Saccharomyces cerevisiae S288C: one gene and its partners. Changing the gene in region 2 together with the main gene of any one other region gives a genetic interaction. Each region holds a gene or a part of one and is shown on either strand. Other genes may lie near its edges. The genes, in order: SFC1, PEX22, RIP1 and PMP2.

Region 1 (9,012 bases), on a different chromosome or scaffold from region 2:
AATAAGCAAAAAAATAAGAAGGGAATATACATCATTGCCCATTCAATGGGCGGATTGGTCGCACATAAAGTGTTGCAAGACTGTACTCATTTGATAAGAGGTATTATTTACGTGGGTTCCCCAAGCCAATGTCCAAATATTTTAGGTCCTATTAGGTTTGGAGATGATGTGATGTGGAATAAAACTATTTTCACTAAAGAAACCAACTTTTTTATGAGAAGTAGTTTCTATTTTCTACCGTTAGATGGTAGATGTTTTGTTGACAAAATTACCTTAGAGAGGTATGATTTCGATTTTTTTGATACAGATGTTTGGAAAACCCTTGGCTTGTCACCTCTCGTCAATGAGAAAAGAGAGGAATCAGCTCACGAAAAATCAAAATTATTACCAAGGAAAACGAAATCAGCGCTTTCGCTTAAAGCTACCCTAAACGCAACTACCAAGTTTGTCCTAAATGCACCTGTTGTTAGGAATGTAGCCGGCAATAATAAACAGGTACCAAGGGATGTGCCTTTCGATGAAGTCTTCCATACATCTTATGAAGATAGCTGTGAATATTTAGCGAGAACTTTAAAACGTACAAAGAATTATTTGGATAGCTTAGATTACGACCCGAACAAAGAATATCCTCCATTGGCCATGGTTTACGGTAACAAGGTTCCCACTGTTAGAGGTGCTAAAGTGAACGGTATACAAGATATAAAAGATGGGAATTATGAAGATTTTTACTATGGTCCGGGCGACGGTGTTGTTCACCATAAATGGTTATTGCCTGAACAGAGAGGCTTTCCAGTTGTTTGTAAAATCGCCAGTTCTTCAGGTCATGTTAGCTTAATGACGGATTTGAAATCAATGGCAAAAGCATTCATATCTATCGTCGACAGCGAAAAAGAAGGAAGAAGATCTCGAACACGAACTTCTTCATGAAAGGCTTTTTATTCCTTTGTTTACTATTCATATCTGCATTTTTCTTTTTACCAAAATTCCGCATGTCAAAAAAAATCTGGCAACGCACCGCGAATAAAAATAAATAATATTTTTTTATCTTTAGTTGCCTAAATACTATTTATTTCGTCAATTTTACAACCTCTTTTATATACACCATTCGATTTCCCACGAAGTAAAATAATAATTCTATAAACAGATTTATCTGATATGCTCAATTTCCCCTCCCATTTTCATTATTGTCCTTCTTGCTCTTCCTCGATGTCAAAATTAACCTTCAGCCATAAGCTGCATGCGCTACATTGGGTTAATAATTGATAACCAGAATGACTCCGTTCCATAGCGTCTACATTATCAATGCATTCATCTAACAAACTCTCACTAAAATGAAAACCACCAACAAATTGACAGCGAGGACAATTCATCATAAACTCCAGCTTATCTTCATCAAATGAGAAATCGTCTAAGGAAAATTCATCCAGCCCATCACCACAATTATGAAATCCTTGGCGTTTATAGTTTTCAAGGATCAACCTATCATATTCGCGACGAGTTTTTATATTCGATAGTATTTTATAAGCATCTTGAATCTTATTGATTGTGACGTTGCTAACCGTATCATGTATGCTTTTAGAAAGTTTATCGGGGTGCGTATTTAGTAACCGATTCCTATATGCCTTTTTGATTTCATCTTGTGTTGCATCCGATGGAATTCTTAAAATTTCGTAGTGTGTTAACGAATTCACCAATGACATTTTCGCTAAATTTTCACACCAAAAGAAAGATTAAATTGGAGATAAATACAATACAAAGAGCGTGGTAAATTTCTTAGTTGATTGCGCTTATCTTTTGGCACCGATAGTGGTTTTTACAATGGTAAGACTAGTAACGTCACATCGAAGTCATCGCATCCATTTACAATTTTTCTGAAAATTTCCATCTCCAGTTACCCGCTCATAAATCTTCAAGAAAAGTCAATGATTTCCTTTTCTACCTCTAGCAGCTCCTTTAATCTTTGATTTAGATCGAAAGTCCTGAAAAAGCTACATGTAATATTAATACTTTGTGAAACGTAAACTAATTATATGTTCTATATACGTTATTCTACGGTTCGCATTTTCTTTTTATGGCGCGTCTGTGCATTCCCAATCGGTAGGCTCATAAGCATCAGGATGATCAAGAAATTTCATCTGTTCGTCTGACAGTTCAAAGTTGTAGGCTGCAAGGTTACCTTCTAACCTCTTCACAGTTTTAGTCTTCGGTAGTGGTAAATAACCGTGTTGTAAAGACCAACGAATCAAAACTTGACCTGGATTACGGTCCACCTCTTTGCAAACTTTTAATAAATCTGGATTAGTCATTTTGTAGCCGTGACACAATGGGGCAAAGGCTTCGACGACGAGACCTTTAGATTTACAGTAATCTGCTAATTCTTGTCTCATAATCCAAGGTGATATCTCGATTTGGTTGACCACTGGCTTGTGCTTCAGTTCTGGCCAGTTCAAAAGTTCATCAATGTGCTTTTTCCCATAGTTGGAAACCCCTATAGACTTAACCAATCCTTCATCAACCGCTTCTTGCATGGCGCGCCAAGTTTCCAACCTTAATTTAGAACCTTCCAGTGGCGAATGAATCAAAAGAAGATCGATGTATTGCAAGCCCGAGACTTCATTCAAACATTGCCGAATGGCAGCTTTAGCTCTTTTATATCCGTTTTGCGAATTCCATAATTTAGTAGTGTAGAAGATTTCCTCACGTTTATGGTTCCCTGGATCTTCGTTCAACCATTTAATGATACCATCGCCAACTTCCTTCTCATTACCATAAAGAACAGCAGTATCGAAATGACGGTAGCCGCACTTGACACCTTCATACACAATTTCGGCTGTTTGCGATCTTGGAATATCGTAGGTTCCCAAAGCAATGCTTGGGATTTTGAAGCCGTTTGAAAGTTTGTAAAACTTAGGAACCATGTTGTTGAGGTGAATTTTTTTTCTTCCTTCGGGCTAGGTATGCTAAGTTAATTACTAAAGTAAGATCAGTTGCTTATGCTCTTATATATTGGAGGTTGCGACAAGGGATGAAAGAAAGAGACACCTCCCCTCATATCGACACGACGGAATATGTATGATAACTACTTCATTGTTCTTTTCAGCACATTATTACTATTTACGAAAAAAGGGAGTAGGGAAAAATGGCGCGCTTATGGAGCCTCAAATAAGGACAAAAAAGTCAAGTAATGAATATCAAATTGAAATGAGTATGCTTACATAGATTTATTTGGTTTGTTTTCATTTTGTTTTTGTTTCTTATGTTGCTGCTTTATTTTGTGTAGGTAATAAGGAAGAATAGGGCGATTAATAATTGATCTTCTAGCCTATTTCTATTTTTTCTTTATTTCATTTTGTAGTCCCATTGTTCATCATCTACTTTAATGGCTTTGGCTTTGGTGTGTCATTCTTCTTGAATATACCCAAATTTTCTAAATGCTCCCTTACATATTCATAAACGGTAAAGGTGACAGCCTGACCTGGAGCCACCCTCATCACTCTTGGGGTAATACCCTTGTACAAAGCTCTAAAACCTTCTTCTTTCAGTAGTTGAGCACCAATGGTTATGATTTTCTTCATACCGGACTGTTTTTCCAATGAGATGGACTTATCCTTTTGCAGCCTTGTCTTTATAGTATCCAATGGAGCGTTGGAAAACGGCCCAATAGCACCCGAAATCAAACCTATGCAAGAAGTTTCCCATGAAGGTAGGACATCCATCTGATGGTAATTCTGCAAAAACTCCTTCAGTTTAGAATAAACTGTGAAGTTAGCACCCTGATTAGTTGCTTGCCTTGCCGCAGTTAAGGAAACGCCTCTATATAAGGCAGAAACACCTTCTTCTTTGACAATAGTGTAGGCTGCATGAATGGCGTTGTTATATTTAGGACCAGCATTTGGCTCACTCGGAGTTAAATGCTGAGCTTGTAACCTAATCTTTACAACTTCCATCGGGTTCACGACAAGAACAGCTTCGGTGATACCAGCCCCAACACCAGCAACAAAAGTATTACCGGTAGACACAATTCCTGATTCCTTGTTAACCAATAAGGTTCTATAGAATTCATAAGACGAGAAACGGATTGCCATCTTAGGTATAATACCGATGACCACAGCACCTAGACCTTTATACAGAGCCAAGAAACCTTCTTTTTGATAAATGGTACGCCCAGTTTTAATAAATCCTGGGGGTTTAACATGTTCAATACCAGCTACCCGTCTGTATATTTGCATTCTCACCTTAATTGTATCTAAAGGATGACAACACAATGCTTCAAATAAACCTGCTGTGCCGCCAGCCATGAGATTGATGGCTGGATGGGAAGCCTTCTTTTTTTGAGACATTTTTCTTTCTTCTTCTTTGTTATGTTATCTTACGGCTAAAACTAATATAAACTTCTTTCTTGAATCAAGTATTCTTAGTTTTAGTAATAGGGAAGATGCCAAGTTTCTTTCAATGACTCAATTGATAATATCTTCCAAAATGCTTTGCACTTTACTTATGAAGCAGATAGAAAACAAAGGGGGAAACGCCAAGAACAAGAAGAACTACAACAAGAAAGTTAACAAAACGAGAACAAGTAGTAAGTGAACTATATATTTATACATAAGATATATGCAAAATGTGACATTACGGTTTGTAAAAGGTAGTAACTCCGTGGCGACAAGAATCTCAAAGGATTGGTTAAAAGATAGCACCTCGAGCAGTAGTACTACCGTATATCATCATTGCCTCCATCATCACACTTTATTATGACAATGAGGACTAATCATTAACACCGACCCATCAAATTTGGGCCCTTCGTCACAATTAAGGTCCGTTTGCGGTTTACCGGGACTAGGCTGGTACTGTCATACGATGTGGTATCTGGTAGACATGGGCGGTTAATAATTCATGGCTCATTCGCCAACGTCCATTTCTCCGGGCGGGCGCTACTAAAAAAATAATGCTCCATTCAACCGAGATGATTCTCTAGTCTCCCCTCGGGTTCATCGAAAAACGCCCCTCTTTTCCATTAAACCGAGGGTGCTGTCAAAATTTCTTACTAAATCACGTGACAAGAGGCGGACTGGAAATCAATCGCCTTTTGCTCTTACCTGCAAGTGAGTTTAAATATCCGCAATAATTATGCTAAAGTTTCTTTTTTACAGTTCGTTGATGTACTGATATGGTTTTATGTAAATTAACAAATACAAAACATAGTCGTTATGGAATAGATATACCTAGTGAAAGCCAAGAGAAAATGAATGAAAGAAGTTTAAGCTTCAACCATTTCTCTTAATCTTCTGATGGTAGATCTAACAGTAGCGGCAGCTGCAGTAGAAACAGTATAAGCACCACCGGCAACGGTCTTCTTACAACAGGAACAAGTCCAAATACCAGCTGCACCTCTCTTAACAGTCTTCTTACCACAGAAGGAACAGTCATATCTGGCATGTTGTTGAATTTCAAGCTTCTTAACTTGTCTTCTCAATGATGAACCATAACGGACACCGTATTTACCTGTGATACCGACCTTCTTTGTTCTCTTAGCCCTGCAAAAAAAAAAAATAAGATGGAAATATTTGTTAGTAAACTAAAAACTTGCCTTATAACTGATTCGATGTAGTCATATTGAGTTGTGGTGGACCTACAGTGAGATTGCCCCAAAAATGCGCTACCATCTATCCTGGCTTATCATTCTCCTCAACTGCGATATTTCGTGGTTTATCAACCCCAGCACTTTCTATTTAATTCAAATCTACCACGCATCTCCACTAACTCCAATATAAGAACATTTAGTCATCCAATTCCTCTATTATATGCATACATTTTTTTGTTTGATTATCTATGCTGTTTATAATATCGTATATAGTTAATGAATAACCCTACAACACGAAGGGCAGTAATATATTCTGATTCTCAGTTGAAATTTCAAATTTTTCAAGCTGGTCTTACTCGGCAGGTAGGAACTTCCCAGTGGGTCTGAGTTTTCTCTCCGGAAGGTATTTATCATTATGCACGACAAGTGCGATTCAATCGAAAGATTATAAATTTCGCGATGAACAACATCTGATAAAAAAAAAATTAAAAAACAATAATCTAAATGATATGTATGGGTTAAAAAGGATGTATGGATGGAGGGTTGGCATAAAAATGAAAGGCAGAAGATGGGCGGCTAAAAAGGTATAGAGATCGTACGTCACCGTCACAAAAATCACTCATAGAATGCACTATCATCCTTACAATACCATACCAGCCGCAAGAAAAAAAGAAAAAAAAATCAATTCATATCATATATTATCTATATCATGCTGTTCTTTCCGCCACGGCCCGTATGGTGTTGGAGTAATTTGATTAATGTATTCCCTCACGGAGGTTCAGTAGATATTCTCAATAAAAGAAGGGTGGGGGTGTATTTGCTGCAAGAATGCGGATGTCAAAAGAACCTCAAGAAGTCCACTAAATGGCAGTAAATGCCGCGCTTACATTTTTAGCGACTGCCGAAAACGTACGGCTAACTGCTGTACCTCAAAAGCATAAAATTGTGATGTTGATTAAAACAAGTAGGCGTTGCATATATAGACGTGGGTAGGAAAAAAGTGAGCGCCAACACTATATAAGAAACCGTTTCTGGATACACCCTCGTGAAGAAATAGGGTCCTGCATTGATATTTTCAAACTTATATAATTAATAATAATTAATAGCGCTTAGTTTAAAGAATTTGAACTATTTTTTGGCCAACTTGGAGAAAGAATGTGTACTTGATTATTGGCATTCCGCGTATTTACGCGGGGATAAAGAGAAAACAAAGGAGAAAAGGAATTTCCTCAATTCCGATGACTAGTACCTCCGAGCAAGCAATCATCGGCGAACAGATGTAAAAAGAGAGTTTTAAACACTGAGTTTTATTTATCAAGAACGTACCCGTACAGCTATCGTTTCAGGCAGATAACAAAAATGTGATTGAAATTAAAGTAGTTTTGTTTGGAATCATGATAATTAAATATTTCATTAATTTGAAGTTACTAAGTAATGAAGCTAGCCCGAGAAACGCAAATGCTCAGAGAGCCCGGCAGTAATTGTGTACACAGAACTATACAAGCCGCTGGATAAAGCTTATTCGTTGATGTCATCCGCTATTACCTCTCCTAATCATGGCTGCAGGAAATCTTTTCTCTCAACATCTTGTACCACTTTAAAATGCGGTAGCAAAGGACAAACGGTAAAACGTTACACTGCCACGGTGTTATAGCAGCCGCAAAGTGAGTAAGCATGTGATGGTACCTTCAATACTGCGTTGGAGAAAAAAAGTGCGTATCTTTGTTTACTTTTCGTCTTCGAGGGGAAGGATCAAAGGCGCATGCGTGCCCGCAGGAGGGGGCGCCAGGATTGGGGGTAGATACAACATCAAGGAAGCGTCATGGTGGCTTCTTGGGTCTTAAATACGCAGGGAATTAAAGTTTCATTTATGTGCCTTTACATGCACTCAAAAACCTTCTTAGTTACAGGAAAAGGTAAAGATACGATAAGAAAAGCCTTTGAACTGCCCATCCTGCATCCTAACACAGATCTAACTCACTATTCGGGTAAGGAAGTGTCATGCATGTCTGCAAAGGGACTAGAAGAAAGTTACATGATTACATAAGCAAAAAATCGGAATTACAGACACACCATTTTTTATCCTGCGGCCCCATTTCCGTCTTCGAGGGAAAGGATCAAAGGCGCTTAGCCCAATCTTGATGATTCACCGGGGAAGAAAGGAATTACAGAACCCCCAGCCACGTAACACAGCCAATTAGTTTTCTATATCGGGAAACGTGATTGATTGCGCAATTTTGGCTGCATCAGAATACATCGATGAGATCTAGAGCACCCTTTGATGGTTTAAGTCCGGTTTAAAGTTAGTAGATCAATGATTTCGTAGTGCATTTTAAAGGGAGCGCTTATCCATGGGTGATTGCGTTTACAACGTTTTGTGTGTACTCATAATAGCCAATCTAAAATTAAACAACAACAACAACGCACAATTAATATGTATCAGCCCCAATACCTTTTTCTCTTACTGTAATTTACTACTAAATTGGGGTCGGACGTTTTTGATCTTGTTCCTTGCCTGTTGTTTACCTTGTATATTACTTTTCCTCTTTTATGTATTTAAGGTAAATTAATTATCTTTTGATCTTAATATTTTTCTCAAAATGCTTCCCTTGTAGTTCGGTATTTTTGCTTCTTCAGATATTTAAACTACCGTATACCATAACTGTTTCGTGAAGTAGATACAAACATCGACTATCCTATTACGATTTATTTTACATTATCATATTATAAATCGACCAGTAGTATTGTTAAAGATTAAAAGCATAATATACTACTGTCATTAGTCACCTACAGAGAAACAAATTCCTACTGGCACCCATTACTGGTGAAAAAGGAAAAAAATAATAAAAGAAAAGCTTTTCTATTCCTCTCCCCACAAACAAAATGCAAGCGGATATGCATGGAAAACTTCACGCTGCCTTAGAAGATGGTTTCTTCCTCTTTCCTTTTGAACAGCAACAACAACCTAACATTTATTATGACACAACCACCGATCAAGAAGACCGTCCTTGTTTTTCTTTTGGATCTACAATTTCCCCTAGAAGTTGGCATTTTGAAAAGTCTGACAAAATTGCCTCATCTCAGCTGCAGAACTTGGTTCATACACAACCAATTCATTTAATTAATCCTCAAATATTGTTCAATGAAGAGTTTCTGAATTTGGAAAATATTGATTCTCAGCCTATTTCCAAGGAAACGAAAACTACGAAGGACTGCACAATGGCAACTGGTCCTGAAAGAGGAAAAAAGAGCTCTGAAAGTACCAGATCCTCTTCATTATCATCTCTTTTTTCTAATGATGAATCCGCATCTACGTTCCACTCATCATTCAATAACCATGATAACTTTCAAAAGAGCAACAGAAATGGAGATGATATCGATATTAGTGACACAATAAAATATGAAACTAATACAAATGCACAAAAAGATATCAA
Region 2 (8,598 bases):
TCATCTCAAGAAAAGATTATATGTGAATAACACTGGTTACATACTCGATATTATGTCGTTCAAGTTCACTAAAATAGATATCATAGTACAACCTTCCAAATATAATGCATATCCGACAATGTCATCGAGGTTTGGTCACTTACAAATTTCTATTGATAATCCAAATAGGAGAGCTAGCGTTCATTCTTCAAGCATGAACGAAATTCATAAAATGGGGAGTGCTTCCATGAAACAAGGTAGCAGCATCACTTCCGGGCGGCTTGAAAAAGCAGCAGTACTTTCATCATTACCTCATAATACTGTGCACACGGTTATAATATTTGGTGGTTACAGACAAACCGGTGATGATCGTTACGAAGCAATGAATGATTTGTGGAAGATAGAGATACCCGTGATACGTCGCGGTAAAAAAGGTTATTGTAAGTTTTCAGAGACAGCTAACGCGATACTACTGACGCCAAGCGAAAAGGACAAATCGGATTGGCCCGAAGAAAGAGCCTTTTCTGCCTTTTCTGTTCATGGGACTTCGTTAATGGATAGGAGTTCTCTTGACATGAGACTATTGAACAACTTAAAAAACCATTTTGTTTTAAAACCGTCATATATATCACAGGATCGCGTTGTTAGTCCTAAACCGGTTTTCCCCATGATGGTTCATGGCACGCATCAAGATCTTTTCAATAGTGGCTCTGCGGCACAAGAATCGCCCAAAGCTGGTGCCTCGGCCAGCAGCGCAAGTGCTGCGAGCTTTGATCCCGATATGGACGATAATTTGGAAAATTATATAGTCAATCCAGGGAGAAAATCGTCATCTATTCCAATGACTGCGATAGGGAGACAGAGATTAATTTTAAGCCAAGAGAAGCCAGTAGGTAAAACTGTTGTATTGCATGGTGGGTCTAACGGTCTCAACGTTCTTGATGATATGTGGTTGATGGACTTAGAGTGTGAGACATGGACTCCAATAGAGACATTTGCAAAGGCAGATTCGAGCGAAGACGGTGATGAAAAATTGGATAGTGTGAACGTAGGTCTCGTTGGCCACAGAATGGAAAGTATTGGACGAATATGTGTATGTATAGGTGGTATGGTACAAGAGGATGTTGACCAATTTTACTCGGAGAATGATGATGAGCCTCCTCGAAAACGCAAGGTCGATACATTACCGTTGGGTGGTAATTTTTTGAACACAATTGATTTAAGCACGCAGTGTTGGGAAGAACATAAAATTACTCTGTCCAAGAAGGAAGACGATGAGGACAGACAAGATAGCGAAAATGAAGATACAAATTCAAATATAGTAGTTGGTGTCGGTGGCACTTCTTTGCAATGTGACAAAAGTATTATTTTGATTGGCGGATTGATATCTAGACGGAGCAATGTAAAAGAAATATATTTACATGGTACCATAACGAAAAGTATTTTTCCTAGCGTAAATCCTAGTGCATAAAAAGGCAGTTTTCAATGCTTTCACTTTGTAAACTTTGTTTAGTAGTAGAATATAATATATTCAGTTTTGTTTTATAGTCACATAACACTTTGTCTTTCAAAGAATAATCTCCTTCGCAATACCAGCGAAATATTTTGGCAAAAAATTAACAATTAGGTTCATAGTCCCCTAATTCAATTAATCGAAAAAAAAAAAATAAAATATAAGGGAAGATTGTGCTGATGAAATAGACAATGAAACAATAATGAAGAATAAAGAAGAAGAAGATATAAAACATGCCACCACCATCAAGAAGTAGAATAAACAAAACAAGAACATTAGGAATAGTGGGTACAGCTATAGCAGTGTTGGTCACGTCCTACTATATATATCAAAAGGTGACAAGTGCAAAGGAAGATAATGGGGCACGACCTCCAGAGGGTGATTCAGTAAAAGAGAACAAAAAGGCAAGGAAGAGCAAATGTATTATAATGAGCAAGTCGATACAAGGACTGCCCATAAAGTGGGAGGAGTACGCCGCTGATGAAGTGGTTTTGCTGGTACCTACGAGCCACACTGATGGATCAATGAAACAAGCCATTGGGGATGCCTTTCGCAAGACGAAAAACGAACACAAAATCATATATTGCGATAGCATGGATGGATTATGGTCATGTGTAAGACGGCTAGGTAAATTTCAGTGCATATTGAACTCCAGGGACTTCACAAGTAGTGGTGGTAGCGATGCAGCAGTCGTTCCTGAAGATATAGGCAGGTTTGTCAAATTTGTTGTTGATAGCGATGTAGAGGATGTGCTGATTGACACTTTATGCAATTAATGTAGAAAAGAGTTTCTTGTAACAGTATGTAAAGAATAAATAATTATAAGTATAAATAAAAAGAGAAGGTGAAATAATAATAAGTAAGCAGCTCGGTTATAAGAGAACAAAAACACACGAAAAAAAAAAAGTCGTCAATATAAAAAGGAAAGAAATCATCATTACAACTTGACCGAATCAATTAGATGTCTAACAATGCCAGGGTTTGACAATGTAGAAACGTCGCCTAGTTGGTCACTTTCTCCTGCTAGGATTTTTCTTAAAATACGTCTCATAATTTTGCCGGATCTTGTCTTGGGCAAGTCATCCACTAAAATGATCAATTTTGGTGCGGCAAATGGCCCGATGTCTTTTCTAACAGTAAAGACCAAATGCTTCTTGATATCTTGTAATTCATCATCTGTTGCGGTGGACCAACTAGATTTGTTTTTCAACACCACAAATGCAGCAACTGCTTGACCAGTCAAGTCATCGTTGAATCCGACAACAGCACACTCGGCCACAATTGGATCTTCGATAATAGCAGCCTCAATTTCAGCGGTAGACAGACGGTGACCAGAGACGTTCACCACATCGTCTACACGACCCAAAATCCAGATATAACCATCCTTATCCTTTGCAGCACCATCACCAGTGAAATAGTAGCCAGGGTAAGGGTTCAAATAAGTGTCTAGATACCTATCATGATTTTTCCAAATAGTTCTTGCAAATGATGGCCATGCAGCTTTGACGGCAAGGACACCCTCTGCGTGGCTGGTGTTAAGTTCTTCACCAGTGTTAGGGTCAAGAACAACTGCATCAATACCGAAGAAGGGGAATGAGGCAGAACCCGGTTTCATTGGTGTAACACCACCAGCCAGCGGGGTGACCAGATGCGAACCAGATTCTGTTTGCCAGTAGGTGTCTACAATGGGGATTTCATTTTTACCTATTTTTTCAGAGTACCACTCCCAAACTTCAGCAGCAATTGGCTCACCGACCGAACCCAAGCAACGCAAAGATTTTAAGGAATGATTTTCGATGTAGGAATCACCAGCTCTTTTCAACAAACGCAAAGCAGTTGGCGCAACATAAAATTGGGTGACTTTGTGTTCATCAATAATATCCCAATAACGGGAGTAATTTGGGTACGCAGGAGTCCCTTCAAAGACCAAAGTGGCACAACCATATAGTAAGGGACCATAAACCACATAAGTGTGGCCTGTAATCCAGCCAATGTCTCCAGCTGTGAAGAAAACGTCTTCTTGGTGAGTGTCAAAAGTGTAGCGCATGGTCAACAAAGCTCCCAGCAAGTAACCTGCGGTAGAATGTTGAACACCCTTGGGGGCACCAGTAGAACCAGACGTATACAACAAGAATAATGGATCCTCAGAATCAACGGGTGTGCATGGATAGTAGGTCTTGTATTTCTTCTTTTCTGTTGCCCAATCCAAATCTCTGGGGGCATGGAAAGCAACAGATGGATTGTTGGTCTTTCTATAAACCAAGACGTGTCTCACGCCTGGGGTCTCTCTTAGCGCGTCATCAACAATTCTTTTAGTCTCAATGACTTTACCACCTCTGTTGGATTCATCTGTAGTGATGACAACTTTAGAGTCCCCATCGTTGATACGATCTCTCAAGGAGTTGGAAGAAAACCCGGCAAAGACTACGGAGTGAATGGCACCGATACGGGAAATGGCCAACAAGGTTATGATTGCTTCTGGGACCATAGGCATGTACACGGCAACAGTATCGCCCTTGCGAACGCCCATAGAGTAAGTCAGCACTTGTGCCACTTGACAAACTTCTTCAAGTAGTTCCTTGTAGGTAATGGAATAGCCTTGGCCAGGCTCGTCACCTTCGAAAATAATGGCTTTCTTGTTAGGAGTCTTCAAGGCATGTCTGTCAACACAGTTGTAACAGGCGTTTAATTGGCCGTTGAGGAACCATGCATTGTTCTGGAAGGAGGGCCTGCCCGTTTTAGGGTCTGGGATGAACACCTTATCGAATGGCTTAGACCAGTTTAAAAATTGGGTAGCTTTAGAACCGAAGAACTTAGCAGGGTCTTCAATAGACTCCTTGTGCAAGCGCTGATAGTCCTGCAACCCGTCCAAGTGTGGAGAATAGTGGGTAGCAATTGCGGGCTGCAGTCTATCTGAGATGGGCCGTTGTGGCACGATCTTGACCGAAGTCAAATGTTCATACTCATGTTCCTTCTTCTGCTGCGCAGTGGCGGCAGACTGGGACATTTTTGCTTTCAACTTGTCAATTTCACTTGACTGTTCTTCTAGTTTTGATGATTGTACGGCAGAGGGCGACATAGCACAGTGGGCAATGTCTTTCTAGTAGTTTTGATATGTTTGGTTTTGCTTATAGATAGAAAATATAAGAACAAGATATAACGTACTACCAGATAACCTAAGGGAGAAATATGCTTAGAATAGCCGCCCAGTTTATATACAAAATGAAGGGAGAACTATTTGCCACCGAGGAACTGTACCCCAACTGCAATACCCATTGAATAATGGCATCGGAGGCTCGGCGGCAATTCGTACCCCAACCTTTTTTTTTTACTTTTCTTTGGATCTTAGAGATAACAGAAAAAAAGGATGACCCCAATCATTTGCCACGGCATGTCAACAGGTGAGTGCCTTTTGAGGGGGGGGGGTCATCTCGACATCCGGCGAAATGGAGCAGTCACACGTGAACATTTTTAGGGGATGGAGAGTGCTACGCCGTTCGTCCGAGATGATTATCATATTTACACAGCCGTACATACACGTGCCATTTATCTTGATATCATTCTGGACGTATGTGCACATGTGATTTGCTTTTGTTTTTTTAAGAATGTCGGGTAATAAACAGATTGTTTTTCTGGGAGGATAATCTTTTCTTTTTTCCTGTTGGTATTCTAAAATTAACCTTGCTGTTTCTTTTTTTTTTTTTTTTCGCGCGACTACTCAGCCATCTTGCATTTTTAAAGAAAAAGATAATCATTAATGCCTTCACGGGAATACGTATAGAACATTATTAAAAGTATATGAATGGCATATATATATAGAACACCACCCTTGGAAAACATTTATACCCCTTAAACTAAAACAATTTGCTGCGCTATACCGTGTTTCAGTGTATTATAATACATTCATTTCTGTTTCATTACGATTATATTGACGTGATAAAAAGATTATATAGCCATGATCTTCCTAAACACCTTCGCAAGGTGCCTTTTAACGTGTTTCGTACTGTGCAGCGGTACAGCACGTTCCTCTGACACAAACGACACTACTCCGGCGTCTGCAAAGCATTTGCAGACCACTTCTTTATTGACGTGTATGGACAATTCGCAATTAACGGCATCATTCTTTGATGTGAAATTTTACCCCGATAATAATACTGTTATCTTTGATATTGACGCTACGACGACGCTTAATGGGAACGTCACTGTGAAGGCTGAGCTGCTTACTTACGGACTGAAAGTCCTGGATAAGACTTTTGATTTATGTTCCTTGGGCCAAGTATCGCTTTGCCCCCTAAGTGCTGGGCGTATTGATGTCATGTCCACACAGGTGATCGAATCATCCATTACCAAGCAATTTCCCGGCATTGCTTACACCATTCCAGATTTGGACGCACAAGTACGTGTGGTGGCATACGCTCAGAATGACACGGAATTCGAAACTCCGCTGGCTTGTGTCCAGGCTATCTTGAGTAACGGGAAGACAGTGCAAACAAAGTATGCGGCCTGGCCCATTGCCGCTATCTCAGGTGTCGGTGTACTTACCTCAGGGTTTGTGTCTGTGATCGGTTACTCAGCCACTGCTGCTCACATTGCGTCCAACTCCATCTCATTGTTCATATACTTCCAAAATCTAGCTATCACTGCAATGATGGGTGTCTCAAGGGTTCCACCCATTGCTGCCGCGTGGACGCAGAATTTCCAATGGTCCATGGGTATCATCAATACAAACTTCATGCAAAAGATTTTTGATTGGTACGTACAGGCCACTAATGGTGTCTCAAATGTTGTGGTAGCTAACAAGGACGTCTTGTCCATTAGTGTGCAAAAACGTGCTATCTCTATGGCATCGTCTAGTGATTACAATTTTGACACCATTTTAGACGATTCGAATCTGTACACCACTTCTGAGAAGGATCCAAGCAATTACTCAGCCAAGATTCTCGTGTTAAGAGGTATAGAAAGAGTTGCTTATTTGGCTAATATTGAGCTATCTAATTTCTTTTTGACCGGTATTGTGTTTTTTCTATTCTTCCTATTTGTAGTTGTCGTCTCTTTGATTTTCTTTAAGGCGCTATTGGAAGTTCTTACAAGAGCAAGAATATTGAAAGAGACTTCCAATTTCTTCCAATATAGGAAGAACTGGGGGAGTATTATCAAAGGCACCCTTTTCAGATTATCTATCATCGCCTTCCCTCAAGTTTCTCTTCTGGCGATTTGGGAATTTACTCAGGTCAACTCTCCAGCGATTGTTGTTGATGCGGTAGTAATATTACTGATCATCACGGGACTTCTGGTTTATGGAACTATAAGGGTTTTCATCAAGGGAAGAGAGTCTCTCAGATTATACAAGAATCCTGCGTACCTACTTTACAGTGATACCTACTTCTTGAACAAGTTTGGGTTCTTATACGTTCAATTCAAAGCAGATAAGTTTTGGTGGCTTTTACCCTTATTAAGTTATGCGTTCTTAAGATCCCTGTTTGTTGCCGTTTTACAAAACCAAGGTAAGGCTCAAGCAATGATCATCTTTGTCATTGAACTAGCTTACTTCGTTTGTCTCTGTTGGATAAGACCATATTTGGACAAGAGAACTAATGTTTTCAATATTGCTATTCATTTGGTGAATTTGATCAATGCATTTTTCTTTTTGTTTTTCAGTAATTTGTTCAAGCAACCAGCAGTGGTTTCGTCAGTGATGGCGGTTATTCTGTTCGTTTTGAACGCGGTGTTTGCTCTATTCCTATTATTGTTCACTATTGTCACCTGTACACTGGCATTACTACACAGAAACCCAGATGTCCGTTACCAACCAATGAAAGATGACCGTGTGTCATTCATTCCTAAGATTCAAAATGATTTCGATGGCAAAAACAAAAATGATTCTGAACTGTTTGAATTGAGAAAAGCTGTTATGGACACCAATGAAAATGAGGAAGAAAAAATGTTCCGTGACGACACTTTCGGCAAGAACCTGAATGCAAACACAAATACAGCAAGACTCTTTGATGATGAGACTAGTTCATCCTCTTTTAAGCAAAATTCCTCTCCCTTCGATGCCTCGGAAGTAACGGAGCAACCTGTGCAACCAACCTCCGCTGTCATGGGTACGGGTGGCAGCTTCTTGTCTCCACAGTACCAACGTGCGTCATCTGCTTCTCGTACTAATCTAGCGCCGAATAATACAAGCACCTCCAGTTTAATGAAGCCTGAATCAAGTCTCTACCTGGGGAATTCCAATAAATCATATTCGCATTTTAACAACAACGGCAGCAACGAAAACGCCCGCAACAACAACCCATATTTGTAATCCAATATATACTCACATGTAACAACTTATTATATAAATATTTAAGGGCAAGGATATCCTACATTATATTTCATAGAAAACCGCTCAAAAAGGTGTATTATCTCCATTACATCCCAACACCACACATATTTCAGCGATAAAAACCTTAAATGTGAAATTCGCTTTGGCTCTGCTTCCTTAAATGTACGCAATTGCCGCTTTTTTCTGACATCTTTTTTGACGTGTAGAGAAGGAAACAGATCCTCCAGAAGGGATTTACTGTTGGCTATTTTGTGTTAGAAGCAGGTTAATAATAGATTAGGTTGCGTAAGTCATGGTCGAAAATAGTACGCAGAAGGCCCCACATGCCGGAAATGATGATAATAGCTCTACCAAGCCATATTCGGAGGCGTTTTTCTTAGGGTTCAATAACCCAACGCCTGGATTAGAAGCTGAGCACTCAAGCACATCGCCTGCCCCCGAGAACTCCGAAACACATAATAGGAAAAGAAATAGAATATTGTTTGTCTGCCAGGCTTGTAGGAAGTCAAAAACAAAGTGTGATAGAGAAAAACCTGAATGTGGTCGATGCGTCAAGCATGGGTTAAAATGTGTTTATGACGTATCAAAACAGCCAGCACCACGAATTCCGAGTAAAGACGCCATTATATCAAGGTTGGAAAAAGATATGTTTTATTGGAAAGATAAAGCTATGAAGCTACTAACAGAGAGAGAGGTGAATGAATCAGGCAAGAGATCAGCAAGTCCGATCAATACAAACAATGCTAGCGGGGACAGTCCTGATACCAAGAAGCAGCAT
Region 3 (8,922 bases), on a different chromosome or scaffold from region 2:
ATAGCCAACCCGCCCTTATCAACTGATAATTTAGAATCTTCGTATATTGTCAAGGTATTATCAATACCAATGGTGGCAACATAAGATCTATTGGAATATTTCAACGTTGCACAAGAAAGGTCTGATAATCGACCTAATAGATAGTTCTTATCACTCGCTAAACAATCGTTTTTAGGTTCTCTTAGCTTCTTAGGAATTATTTTAGTCGCCACTTGTGTAATGCTTCCCAACCGCTTAAAACCCAAGTAGGGACATTCAGGGTACTCTGATGGATATACTATGGACGTCCTAATTGGAAAGCGGGTTCTCAAAAAATCTCTCAAGATCTCAAATTGAACCAGATAATCACCACTCATATAAGCTGGAAGACCTATATGGTTAATCGATGAAAGTGCTGGGAAGGAATAGGCCTCTAAAATTTCCGCGCCCTCTTTTAGCATGTTTATTTTATATGCTGCTATGCCACTATCACCAGAAAATAAAACCAAGTTGCACTCATAGTATATGAACACCGAGAATATACAATCTTCGAGATAATTCGCGTACAATTGGGTAATGTTATTGTTTCTAATTTCAAACAGCCAGAATTTTGTACGTTTTTCACCAACTCCTAAGCATACAACAAACTTATTACCATAAAAGGGTCTCTGTGATAAGTAGATTGAGTTTTGTTCTGGCCACAGTGGCTTCACAACGGCATGTAAATACTTTTCATCCGAGAAACTGAATGTGGAAACTGCCTTCATTGAAGCATAATTGAATAGCATCAACTTATACTGCCTACTATTGCTATCGACCAAACACACCACGGCCTGATTGAGGTTATTTGGAACAGTATAGAGCTCTACGGGAATGCTAGGGAGGTAAAAGATATGATTTTCTAATTGAGGTTTTAATGAAGTCATCTGCTTAGTGAAACCTTCACGGTAAAACGTGCTACCAAACTCAAAGATGCTTATTCGAGAATCATAATCTAAAACACAAAGAGAGAACAGTGCTTTACCGGGTCGAATTCTCATTCGTCTTGGAACTAAGCCTAACTGTATGCAACCATAAGACATGTTTTGAAGATTTAACAAAATTATTTCCTTATCGTTGTAAAGGAAAACCAAAGGTAAGGAAGGAATCGTATCCAACAGTTCTAATTTCTGATCGTATAACGAATGAATCTCTAAATCCACTCTCAAAAAATTTGATTCTGATTTGTAGACTCTTACGCAGCCAGTGTATGATGATGCGATGACATAAATCGAGTCGTGTTTATGCTTTTTGCTTAGCCAAGATATTTTTATCAATTGATCATAGGCTATGAAAGAATAGTCTGGATGTGATGTAGCCACTTTCTTTTGATTGGCATTCCATACCGAAAACACACCGTCCAAGTAAATGACAAAAAGGTATTTCTCGGCACCATCTGAGAAACAGCTCACAATACTCTCTTTAGAATTGAGCCCATGGATAAAAAATTCTTCTTTTTTACGTAGAAAACCAGATTTTGCCTCAAGTATCGAAATCCTGAGCTTGGAGTTCTGTACGGGATAACAAAACATGGTGGAAGAGTTGTGGTTCGACTGCAAGAAATCGACCTGCCTAAATTCTCCGGTAGAACCATCCATACCGGCTTTCAAAACTTTTCCCGTCCTAGAAACAAATAGACCGTAATCATAAGGCTCATCCATTAAAAATATTCCGTTCTTATAAATCAACCCACCTGATTCATATGCAAATTCGTCACCACCATTAAGTGCTAAATCTGTAACCCAAAAATCAGTTACATTCTCTACTAGCGCTTTGGAGGAAGTCACTAACTTGAACAGGGTTTTGTCATATACCAAAATTTTCTTTTCTAAAAATCCTCTTCTTGAGTTAAAACTTCCACCCAAAAGCAGTGAATCAATATCTGTCCCCTTGTTTCCAATAACTTGTGATGCCAGGTAAACTTTGTTTGTATAAGCGGGACCGCTTTTCACCTTTTCTAATTTTGAACCTCGATGATCTTTCGATATAAAATTTACTCCATTTATTCTTGTCACCGCTATATACTTTTCACGTGGGAGCTGCAAAATAACATCGCATAGATCATGTTTAGGAGGCTTGAACACTCTTTCTTTTGTCCATTGTAGTTCTTTCAGGACGTGGTCTCTATGTAACGACCTAGTGTGTATCTTGGCAGTGTATTTGTTAGCATACACGTCAGAAATTGTCAAGAGAATGACTGATCTTTCATATATCACATCATAAGAATCTTTTAGAAATTGGTAGTTTTCTACATTTGGGAGACCTTTATTATTGAAAAAAGCCCCGTTTGTAAGCCCACTTGCTTTTATATTTATTATTTGAGTGTAGTTAGTAGTCAACACTACAATGGTATGGCCGCAAACTACCTTCATATAACAAAATTCATTATCACATATCGGCAAAAGATTGTATTGGCGGTACTCGTTTAAATCAAATTTCCTACTTCCATGCTTTCCAGCAAGATTGTATTCCTTTAAAAACAGGTTTTCACTATAGCAACTCTTAAGTAGGCAAAGAAAATAAACGTGTGATTTACCTGTGCATGTGGCGTCGTCAAGCAAATCCTCCCTGCTAATAAAATCAAAGGAGATAATTTCTTCGCCATCGGTGGCATAAAATCTTTCGACTATTCCTTCTCTGAAGTCAAAGGAGTAAATTGTCGTACATAACGTATGCAAATCACTATCATATGATATGTTTTTATTGCAAGTGTATAAAACACCCTCAAAGGAAGCATTTAACCAGCTGGAAGTTAATAAAGAAATAGTATCCAGTTTCGGAGCCACATTAGAGTCGTAGATAATTTCAAATTTGTTATTTTCGCATTTGAATCCCTTAATGGAACCGTCGTTAAACATTAGCAGGTGACAGAAGGAAGCTGACATGAACATCGGTACAGTTGCGTAGTTAACAACGAACGGTCCATCTAAAGCGAACTCAACCTTCGCTTTCAATTCGTTGGACGTTCCGGTATACAATCCATAGCTAAAACATAAAAAGTAACTTCCTTCGTGATGAAGACAACTTACCAGCTTCTCAGCCTCATCTTTTGATCTATAAGATGTTATGCATAAAGGTAAAAAGGCCGAATTGCTATCCAATTTTTTGCAGTCCGTTTCATCTTGTCTTGCCATTTTACGTGGCAATGGCTAGTGCAATATGCAATGCGCTAACGCTGACATTATAACACAATATATTTTTCTACCCTCCCTTTCGCTGAGTTGCGACCAGAATGTCTGTTTTTCAGTCATGTATTTCTTTCCGCTTTAGGCGTTCAGGCAAGCGCGTTCAGTTGAAAGCAAATAGAACCTATAACGACGAATACGCTTAAAGGAAGTATACAGGAAATAGAAAAAGAAGCGTACTGCATGTACTAAAAACCAAAAAAAACACCACATCGGCTCTCTGGTTGTATCCATACTTTCCCTAAAATTTTGTAACTCAAGAAAATACCTACATAAAACGATAATCAGTGGATTGCACTGATCAAGTCGAAAAACTCCGTACATGCCCGTCTATCCCTGTCTCATCCATATAAACTGAACTAGGTAGAAAAAAATACCTACCCTTTCTTTAACCGCCTGGTATATTAAATACCATTGTCAATTGAGAAGCTAACAGCCATTGTAAGAGTTATGTCCAGTGTCCGACTAAGACAAGGTAACCATACGTTGATAGCTATGAATACCCCAGAGGAAGATTATTCTTTCTCATAAATCCTTTTTATTGGTTTCAAAAATCCACCAATAAGTTCATATAGCTTGGGCGGCTATTCATGCGTAATATAATGTGCATGAAGTACGACCCATCGACTCTTAGAGCAAATGCTTCCTAAATTGAAATAACTAGCCGCCTTTAATTCGAGCCTTCTTGTCATCTTGTGTATTTCATCCTTTCAACTTCTCCTGTTCCACCTTTCACTCTAAGCTTCCCTATCATTTGGCCTCTTTCAGGTTCGTCCATAGCGCATCTTTTTCCTTTTAGACACTCCATAACGGACCAATCAGCGTTTTGCGCCATTTATCGGTCTTGGGTCACGTGCGGCGACGCGGAGGCTCCCTTATAAGGACTGGAAAAAGACCTGCAAGAACTATAGTTGGTTCTTGAATATCAAGTAATATATTACTTCTCTGTCGTAACTTTTTGTTGCTTTCAAGTTCAACGTCTTTTAAAAACCAAGAAATTATTGAACATAAATAATATCACTCTAACACTTATTAGGAAACCGAAAGGAGCAATAACAAACATGTTAGGAATAAGATCATCTGTCAAGACCTGCTTCAAGCCAATGTCTTTAACTTCCAAAAGACTGATTTCTCAATCTTTGCTGGCTAGCAAATCCACGTACAGGACCCCAAATTTTGATGACGTTTTAAAGGAAAATAACGATGCTGATAAAGGCCGTTCTTATGCTTACTTTATGGTCGGTGCTATGGGTCTTTTGTCATCTGCAGGTGCCAAATCAACCGTAGAAACCTTTATTTCATCTATGACCGCTACTGCCGATGTTTTGGCTATGGCTAAAGTTGAAGTTAATTTAGCGGCTATCCCATTGGGTAAAAACGTGGTTGTCAAATGGCAAGGTAAGCCTGTGTTCATTAGACACAGAACTCCTCATGAAATTCAGGAAGCCAACAGTGTGGATATGTCCGCTTTGAAGGACCCACAGACCGATGCTGACAGAGTCAAAGACCCTCAATGGTTAATTATGCTGGGTATTTGTACTCACTTAGGTTGTGTTCCAATTGGTGAAGCCGGTGATTTTGGTGGTTGGTTCTGTCCTTGCCATGGTTCACATTATGATATTTCCGGTAGAATCAGAAAGGGACCTGCCCCCTTAAACTTAGAAATTCCTGCTTATGAATTCGATGGTGATAAGGTCATTGTTGGTTAGGTTTGTTTTTCGTCCTCGAAAACTACATCTTTATTGTCTATTTGTTTCACCCTTATTTTGATTTTTCATTTACTATCCATTATGTTATGAACGGGAACTATACAACTAACCTAAGAATTTTGAAATCACAACAAAAATAATCAACATCACAGTCTCGAAGGGATTACGCTCAAAAAGGAACGAAAATCACTATACTGTATTCCCTGTTGATTTTCCTAAGAATATATTCTTATACAATATGGAGAAAACAAAAGGATAAGAAAAGAAAGGGGAAATAAAGAAGATTTGGACCTATTTATTACTACTTTTTTGTCTCACCATCTTCTTTTTCTATTCATAATATTTGATATTCCTTTATTTATCTGCATGTATTTATAATTAACGAAACTATTTATCTTCCCTCGTCCTGCCTTATCCTTCTTTTCTCCAAATGTTTTACCTAAGATTGGCCTGTATTTGAATATTGATGTCCAGAAGCAGAAGATTTCACATGTTGTATAAAGTATACAAGATTGTAAAAATGATTGAAGTATTTTTATATATGTATATTACCTATAAAATTTTTTATATTACGTACCGAAGGGGTTTTTTTAATGCTAAAGCGATTCATCTTGCTGTAGGTATATTTTTAAATCATCTGGAATATCTGTCCAGGAATTACTATCCCAGTCCATGAATTTCTTTTTTAATTGGGAGTATTTACTGTCAAATAATCTTGAATTGTATGTCGTTGCAAAATAACTTGCTTTTTGACCCATGTGGAGTTCCTGCCCTTCCTCATTATCAAAAAAGCCCCCATTGATTTCACTCCCGTTGCTATTATCTTGCTTATCATATTTATTTGAAACTTTATTACTTTTTAAATCAATACCTTCCAAATCTTGGAACAATTGCCTTACATATTCCGGCATATTGTCCGGTCTATACCTACGATCAAACTTAATTCTCCAATAGACTGACCAATGTAAACTGACATATTCGGGTACATAACGAGATCTTCCGAGGTTAGGTGTATGAAAATTTTGCCACTTTCCTTCTTTATTTTCCATTCGTATTCCAATGGGGAGCAGTTCCAATACCCACCACACCAATCTCATAAATTTATTTGCATGTCCACATTTAAGAGTAAAAGCATCCTTCACTTTTTCTTTTTCATCTTTCAAGCTCAATCTAGTCTCTTTTATATTTTTTAGACAATCTTCCATTCTCTCATTTCTGCCAGATTTATCCTCTCGGGCTCCATCCTCATTATCACTCACTCCTAGTAGGGAACATTTCTTTGGTGAGTTGAAACTAAGGTAATCATGTGTGTCTGCGAATAAAGATCCAATCGAAGTGTGTTTGGTAGCGAAATCATGTATTGCACCAGGTTTGAATTTAACACCAAATTTGATTGCCTCTGCTAAAATCCATCGCAGCGTTAAATTTGACAAGTTCTCTTCTGTCTCACAGTCAGGCGCCCAACCTCCACCAACGTCAGAATGATCACCTGGAAACCATTTTTCAATCAAGTCGGGTGTCATAGTCATTCTACTTGATGTACCGCTGCCTTGGATAGATTGAAGTTGGAAAATGGCTTCAATTCCTCTTGTTGAACATTCTGTATCTCTCGCGTATGAATTACCTTCTAAGAATGAGTTCAGGTCCAACAGCAACTCTGTAGTTTCCTCGCTTTTGCTCGATAACAACCTTCCAGGGTTATCAGGAATGAGTGGAGAAGGATTACTAATAGAATGTGCGCCACTTTTTAAAGTGTATTTTATCAAAGGATTTTCCGGGGTTAGATCACGCATTAATGCATTAGAAGTTGGCACCGGCGAACACTGGTCAGTTATATGATTACAATATGTCAATGAAAATAGTTTCGGAATGTACGGCATCGGAGTGAAACATAACTGCTTGAATTTTCCACGTCTTTCATCCAAGGATACGCAATGTCGAACATGCTCAACGATATTGCTTCTCTGGGTGCAAGGAAACAACCTGTCCCTTAATATTCCAACTGAGTTCACAGAATCGAATAAGCCTTGAAAATGTATCTTTACCTCGTAATCCCTAGAGAATGTTTTCTTGAATTCTTCAGCCAAGGTACTTGTGTACTGTAATTCATTAGGCTGCGAATCGTATTCCCATTTTTCATAGATTTGCCATGCCATTTTAACCATTTCTTCCAAACCTTTACTCAAAAGTCCGACTCTTTCAATCATTCCAGCAAGAACTCTTGCAATAAAAGCTCCTCTAGAAAAGCCAAACATATAAATTCTATCTCCTGGTTCAAAATACTTCATCAAAAAAAGATATGCAGAACATATGTGATTGTCTAAACTGAATGCGAACATAGAATCTAATAAATTTTGTAAGTGAGAAATAGTTAACCGTCTTCTGACATCAACAACAGCGTCAAATCCAACTGAACCAATTCCAGGTTGGTAATAACAAATTTGTTCAGAACTATCACCGTTCTCAAGAAGGTTGTACAATTTTAAAATATTAGTGAATGGCTGAGGTCCAAAATTTTCTCTTGTTCCATCAAAACAAAGAATGATATTCTTGCCAGACGATGAATGTGAGGATGGATTTATACTTCTGTCGCCTCCCGTCCCATTTTTTTTATATTTTCCATGAATATAATTGAAGCTATCCATCTAATGGATATTATGTTAGTGTATTATTTTTTATAAGTTACATCACCTGTTTGCTGTTATTTTACTACATCTGTCTGAAGTACATTAATTTGTGGCGGTTTAACAGTATATTGAATGTGACAAACACACCCAGACACCTCAATAGACAACAGGAGGGCCATTACCATAATTTCATAACATTAAATATTCCAAGTAACATTTTTCAGAAGACGAAGAAAGACTAATTAACAGGATAATAAATATTAACATTATCTTTTAAGTACCATACTTGAAGCGTCAATTGATGTATGTTTGGTTTTCCACTATTTTCCTAAAAGCATGAATCTTTTCTAGGCAAAAAATTGGAATGACGACTCCTGATCGTTAAAATGGAAGACAAACACTAGAAGTTGACTTCAAAAAAACTTCTTTCATTAAATAAGGGAAATATCCGGCCGGCTCATACTGATAATATACCAGCAACATTTACAGGAAACTGCAGGTTTTAGGCAGTGTGGCGAACCGCAAATAAAGTAATAAACAACAATTTCAAACGGAAAGGACTCCTCTGCTAAAGATTTGATGTTTTTAAGTTCTTTTATAGTTTATATTGGCATAAGAGGTAAACCATATTTAGCACTTATTTTCATAAAGTATTAGAAGTGTTCTTATATATTTCATTACCCGACTTGAAAAATACTACGCGGTTCATTGCGAGAACCTTCAATAAGTGTCGAAAGAGCACCTACATTGGCGTTTAAATAATAAACACACCAACCTACATATTACGTTGAATTTAAATTCTTTCACTGCTTGTAAACCATAGACAATAAACTGATTAATTTAGTATCTAAAAAATCTTTTAAAGGGAAAGAGAAGAGGCGGAAAGATGAGTGATAGGGAATTCGTCACGGTAGATCCCGTCACTATCATAATCAAAGAATGCATTAATTTATCGACAGCGATGCGGAAATACTCTAAATTTACCTCTCAATCTGGAGTGGCCGCTTTGCTGGGGGGAGGAAGTGAAATATTTAGCAATCAAGATGACTACTTGGCTCACACATTCAACAATTTGAATACCAACAAGCACAATGATCCATTTTTATCTGGATTCATTCAGTTAAGACTTATGTTGAATAAACTGAAAAATCTAGATAATATAGATTCACTAACCATATTGCAGCCATTTTTATTAATTGTGAGTACAAGTTCCATTTCTGGTTACATCACTTCCCTGGCCCTGGACTCTTTGCAGAAATTCTTTACCTTGAATATCATCAATGAATCATCGCAAAACTATATTGGTGCACACAGGGCGACGGTAAATGCTCTAACACATTGTAGGTTTGAAGGATCTCAACAACTTTCTGATGATTCAGTTCT
Region 4 (4,608 bases), on a different chromosome or scaffold from region 2:
GAGCTGACAAATTTAAGAAGGCAAAGCAACGTGGCAAATGGAAACAGGAAACTGGGCATCAACGATATCCTGACCATAGTTAAGAATTTATTCCCAGAGTACAGAACAACACTAAACGATGGACAACTTAGTCTACACGGTTTGGAAATGCATGATATCGAGAAGCTCCTTGACGAAAAGTACGATCGATTCAAGAAAACGCAGGTCGAACAAATAAGGATGATGGAGGATGAGATATTGAAGAACGGTATAAAGACCGGTGCATCGCAACTGCAACCACATGCAAATGCTGGCAAAAGTGGATCTGCTGGTACCAGTGCTACTATAACTACGACTACGCCACACATGGCGCATTCAATGGACCCAAAAAGAGAAAAACTATTGAAATTATACAGAGATACCGTTCTGAATAAATTGGAAAGTAAAACTGGGAATTTTCAGAAGCTATTCAAGAGTCCCGATGGTAGCATTATCAAGAATGAGATAAATTACGAAGACATAAAGAACGAAACGCCCGGCAGCGTTCATGAACTGCAGCTGATTCTTCAAAAGAGCATAACGGACGGTGTAATGCGAAAGGTCATTGGTACGGACGACTGGAAATTGGCTAGACAAGTGCAGTTTGAATTGGATGATACGGTGCAGTTCATGAGAAGAGCACTAGAGTAAGGAGATAGTAGGCGACACTTCGAAAATCTAAAGTCTTGTAACATTACTATTATATACTATTTTATTAAAAAAATACACACACAATTCTTTAACAGAACAATATATAACAAATGAAGCGACATGTTTCTCAAAAAAAAACATAGTAGGTAGGTAAAAATGGGAAAGAACGGGACAAACAAAACGAAGAGCAGGGTGTATTTGCCCACACACGGCAAACAACATCCATTCACGCCCGCATGCCCAAAACTTTTTTGCGATAAAACGCCCACGCAAATCACATCGTTCCAACAGAGGAATCGAACAGCACAGATACAAAGTAGGAATATAGCACACACACAGGAAAAATTAATTAATTATTAGAAATTAAAAGGGTTGGGGAGAAAAGAGGTCTAATTTATTCATTAATATTCAGTAATTGAAAAAAAAAAAAAAAAGAGGATAACTAAGAGAAAACAACATCAAGCTCGTTTGGCTTGCTAGTGATCGCTTAGAATCTTTGTAAACCTCTTTGTCTAGCTTGCCATTTTCTGTAGATAATGGTAGAAATGATGGCGATACAAGCCAAACCGACTAGAATAAAAACTAAGATAACACCACCTGGTAACGTGCTCATCAACATCTTTGTATAATTGTTATTGTACTATTTATTGTTTTGTATGTATACGATGGAGAAAAAGAGAAAGGAAGAAGGAAGGACGAAAGAGAAAAAACTGGAAGGGAAGAAGAATTGATTTTATATTAACCAAGAGGAAGGAAAGGAAATTGAGTTGTGATTACGGAATTTTAGTTTTTTTCACTGTTTATTTAAACCAAAAGGTGTGGAAGAGAAAGAGAGAAAAAAGTTCTGTAATTCGTTAAGGAAATTAAGTATCCGCGCCGGAAAAATAGCGAGAGGTTTTTTTTGATGCAAAAGCTAGGGAGGGCTGCGGACGGATTTCGAAAACAGCTCAACAGCGTGGTGACGAGTTGCGTCAGGGTGTTGGCCAGTGCTACCGCGGGCGGCGCTGCACAGGGAGTAAGCAGAGCGGGCTAGAGCGCGGTTTTGGAGAGGGCCCGGGCTGCTGTGGTCGTAGGATTGCGGTAATTTAGTGGCTCGCCCTCGTTTGTCGTGCTTTTTCCGAGTTCCGAAACTCTTTCCCGAGCTGTTAATGTGCTAAAAGTGGTAAATCGTATATGATGATATACGTATATGATGATAATTTCCTGCGCGCTACTTGCGTGCATTCGTCACTCATAACAAAAAGAACTACACAATACGTAAACAACGTGCGAAAATATCTATATACAAGGGGAGAAAACAAAAGTGAAAGTGCATTACAGCCCATCACAGATCATTATAATACAATATGCCGACCAAGTCAACTTTTAGTCGCTGGAAGAAGGCGGACCTAATTGACCTGGCCAACAAGCTGGAAATTGACGGCTTCCCCAATTATGCCAAGAAGAGTGATATGATCGATTACCTCGAATCGCACTTGAATCATCTTGAGAAACCTGTGGATTTTAAAGACGACTACCCGGAACTAAGGTCCTTTTATGAGTCGATGACAGTGGACCAGTCAAAGGATGAACGGAACGAATACGGATCCGGATCTGGAAACGGGTCTGGGTCTGGATCCTGTGACACCGCCACAAATGATTCCGATCTGGAGAAAGCGTACATCAAGGAGGATGATGATGAGAAACCGCAATCAGGCGATGAAACAAGCGCGACAAAGCCGCTTTCCAGCAGGAATGCAAATTCAAACGCCAAAACGAACTTCAATTTGTTGGATTTTAGCACAGATAACGACTCGTCCACCTCTGCGTTTACTAAGTTCAAGTTTAACTTTCAGGAATACCTCTCCGATATTAGATACCAAACGCAGAAATTGAATGAAAATGTTCAGGACTATCTTTCCACTATTTCCGCCGTCGATACGATTTTTTCCTTGTTGGAATTCTCTTTTCTGGTGAGAAACATATTAGCCGCCGGGCAGCCAACTTCTTCTTCTTCGCTCGCATCGTCGCTGGAAGCCGCCGTTGCCGCCCATAATAAATATCAATACACGCTCGATTTCTGTTTACCAATACTCACGTGGCTGCTCTTCTTTAGGGGTATTCCAACGTTAGTGTCATACTACATCAACTTCATCCGCTACGACCTGAACATCGAGTTGGACCCGATGACTTTCAATCTCACGAAATTCTTGATTTCTTTGGCAATCTTCAAAACTTGTAATAATAAAAACATAGATTTCCATTCTTTTCGATGTGTTAACCAACTATGGACACAACTCTGTACAGTGAACCGTTCCCTTGGTATGGTACCTCTAGTATTCTCCATGGTTAGTTGTCTCCTCACTCTATACGTATTATAGTATATTTTCTTACATACGTATACACACGCGTACGTAAGCCGCGAAGTGTGTATTTACTACTCTGTATTATTGTAATAAACTCTTCTCCTTCTTTGTCTTTTCTTCTCCCAAAAGCGCACTTGCCTTGATCAGCATATTGTATACTTCGATGTTTTCAAATGGAGGTACGACTTCATTGTTGAACATCGGACCCATTCCAATGAATATAGATGCCATATCACTACAGTTGTTAAAGTTGTATCCATGTGTGCCCATAATGCCGATAGGCACATCACCCATTTCTTTTACAATGGCGTAGTATTCATCTGCGAGAATCCAGATATCGCCGACCCTATCGTCATATCTGTGCTTTCTGTTATCGTATTGGAAATATTTCCAGCTCGGGTCGAAATCTTCTTTCAGGATCACGTGAAACTTCCTCGATATTTCATCTCCATATGCTTTCTCTAACTGAGCTTCAATCAAGTCACAAATCCATTGCTTGTCTCGAGGGTTTTTCAAACATACCATCATCATGGGGCCCTCGTTATAAAGATGCGAAATAAATGCGCTCATTGCGTCGGCCGGGAACACCCTTTCCCACACAACAACATGCTCACCGTCATTCGCGTTGACATTGCTCATGCCATGGTCACTAACAATCATAACATTGCTAATTTTCAACAAGTTTCTTTTTTGCAGGCCTTCAATCAAATCGAGAAAGAATCCATCGACTTCACCGATCAGCTTTTGTAGCCGCTTATCTCGTAAATCGTATCCAAAACTGTGTCCGTACGAATCAACATTGGGTATATAACTTATGACCAATTCTGGCCTATCTTTAAGCTGAGGCATATCTATGTATCGGAAAATTTGAGCTAATTTATCTTGAAGTTTTTCCCATTGATTGAATTTCCCAAAATAAAATGGCATTCTTTCCCTAGGTACATCCCCGTGGTCCTCATACACAACCTCACTTCCAGGCCACATATGCGTGGCCACTTTATATTCGCCTTGCGATTCAGTTTGCAGTAGTTGCCAAATAGGGTCAGCCGTGTTGCTCCAAATTCTTGCGTCGAGGTTATTTGGTCTAAATTCGCTACTCGTGAAATTATCCCAGAATATATTGGAAACAATACCGTGCTCAATGGGATATTTTCCCGTTACCATGCTCCAGTGGTTGGGAAATGTCTGAGTGGGAAAACTTGGGATCATATACGGTGCAGTCGTGATATTCATATCGTACGGGGACCGCAAATTGTGCAAGTTGTAAAGAAATGGCGTGTATTTTGCATCTATCAATCTCGGATGGAACCCATCGATAGATATCAATATCGTTAACGTCTTGAAATCATGTGTGCCGTTGAAGTAAGTATTTGATCTATTCGCAATTGTCCGGGGCCCATTATCAATAGGTTTTGGGCACTTCGAATATAAAAGCAACTCAATGAGTATTATACCGCAAAGCAAAAGTTTCAATAAAAAATGTCGTGATATTGCGAAAGGTTTTATGTTCGTATCATCTTCATTATTTTTTTCAAGGTCAACAGGTTGCTCGAAAAGAAGCATATCGTAAGCACACTTCGAAATGGCCTTCTTT

Evidence for each region.
Region 1: mutations in PEX22 (region 2) and SFC1 together harm fitness more than expected from each alone (negative genetic interaction), as found in Saccharomyces cerevisiae (2 studies listed by BioGRID).
Region 3: mutations in PEX22 (region 2) and RIP1 together harm fitness more than expected from each alone (negative genetic interaction), as found in Saccharomyces cerevisiae (2 studies listed by BioGRID).
Region 4: mutations in PEX22 (region 2) and PMP2 together harm fitness more than expected from each alone (negative genetic interaction), as found in Saccharomyces cerevisiae (2 studies listed by BioGRID).

The regions. Positions count from the first base shown.
Region 1 is NC_001142.9:605,101-614,112, reverse strand, and holds SFC1 (Sfc1p), read right to left. Parts: upstream 4,341-9,012; coding exon 3,372-4,340; downstream 1-3,371. Other genes in the region: YJR098C (uncharacterized protein), read left to right, coding at 1-927; JJJ3 (Jjj3p), read right to left, coding at 1,182-1,700; YJR096W (aldo-keto reductase superfamily protein), read right to left, coding at 2,070-2,918; 60S ribosomal protein eL43 RPL43B, read right to left, coding at 5,255-5,531, 5,807-5,808; transcription factor IME1, read left to right, coding at 8,462-9,012. UniProt on the Saccharomyces cerevisiae protein: Transports cytoplasmic succinate, derived from isocitrate by the action of isocitrate lyase in the cytosol, into the mitochondrial matrix in exchange for fumarate.
Region 2 is NC_001133.9:40,452-49,049, forward strand, and holds PEX22 (ubiquitin-protein transferase activating protein PEX22), read left to right. Parts: upstream 1-1,725; coding exon 1,726-2,268; downstream 2,269-8,598. Other genes in the region: GPB2 (Gpb2p), read left to right, coding at 1-1,450; ACS1 (acetate--CoA ligase 1), read right to left, coding at 2,430-4,571; flavin adenine dinucleotide transporter FLC2, read left to right, coding at 5,448-7,799; oleate-activated transcription factor OAF1, read left to right, coding at 8,113-8,598. UniProt on the Saccharomyces cerevisiae protein: Involved in peroxisome biogenesis.
Region 3 is NC_001137.3:102,996-111,917, forward strand, and holds RIP1 (ubiquinol--cytochrome-c reductase catalytic subunit RIP1), read left to right. Parts: upstream 1-4,264; coding exon 4,265-4,912; downstream 4,913-8,922. Other genes in the region: YEL025C (uncharacterized protein), read right to left, coding at 1-3,152; YEL023C (uncharacterized protein), read right to left, coding at 5,509-7,557; Arf family guanine nucleotide exchange factor GEA2, read left to right, coding at 8,426-8,922. UniProt on the Saccharomyces cerevisiae protein: Component of the ubiquinol-cytochrome c oxidoreductase, a multisubunit transmembrane complex that is part of the mitochondrial electron transport chain which drives oxidative phosphorylation.
Region 4 is NC_001137.3:121,642-126,249, forward strand, and holds PMP2 (proteolipid ATPase), read right to left. Parts: upstream 1,289-4,608; coding exon 1,157-1,288; downstream 1-1,156. Other genes in the region: EAF5 (Eaf5p), read left to right, coding at 1-669; GTT3 (Gtt3p), read left to right, coding at 2,016-3,029; nucleotide diphosphatase/phosphodiesterase NPP2, read right to left, coding at 3,096-4,577.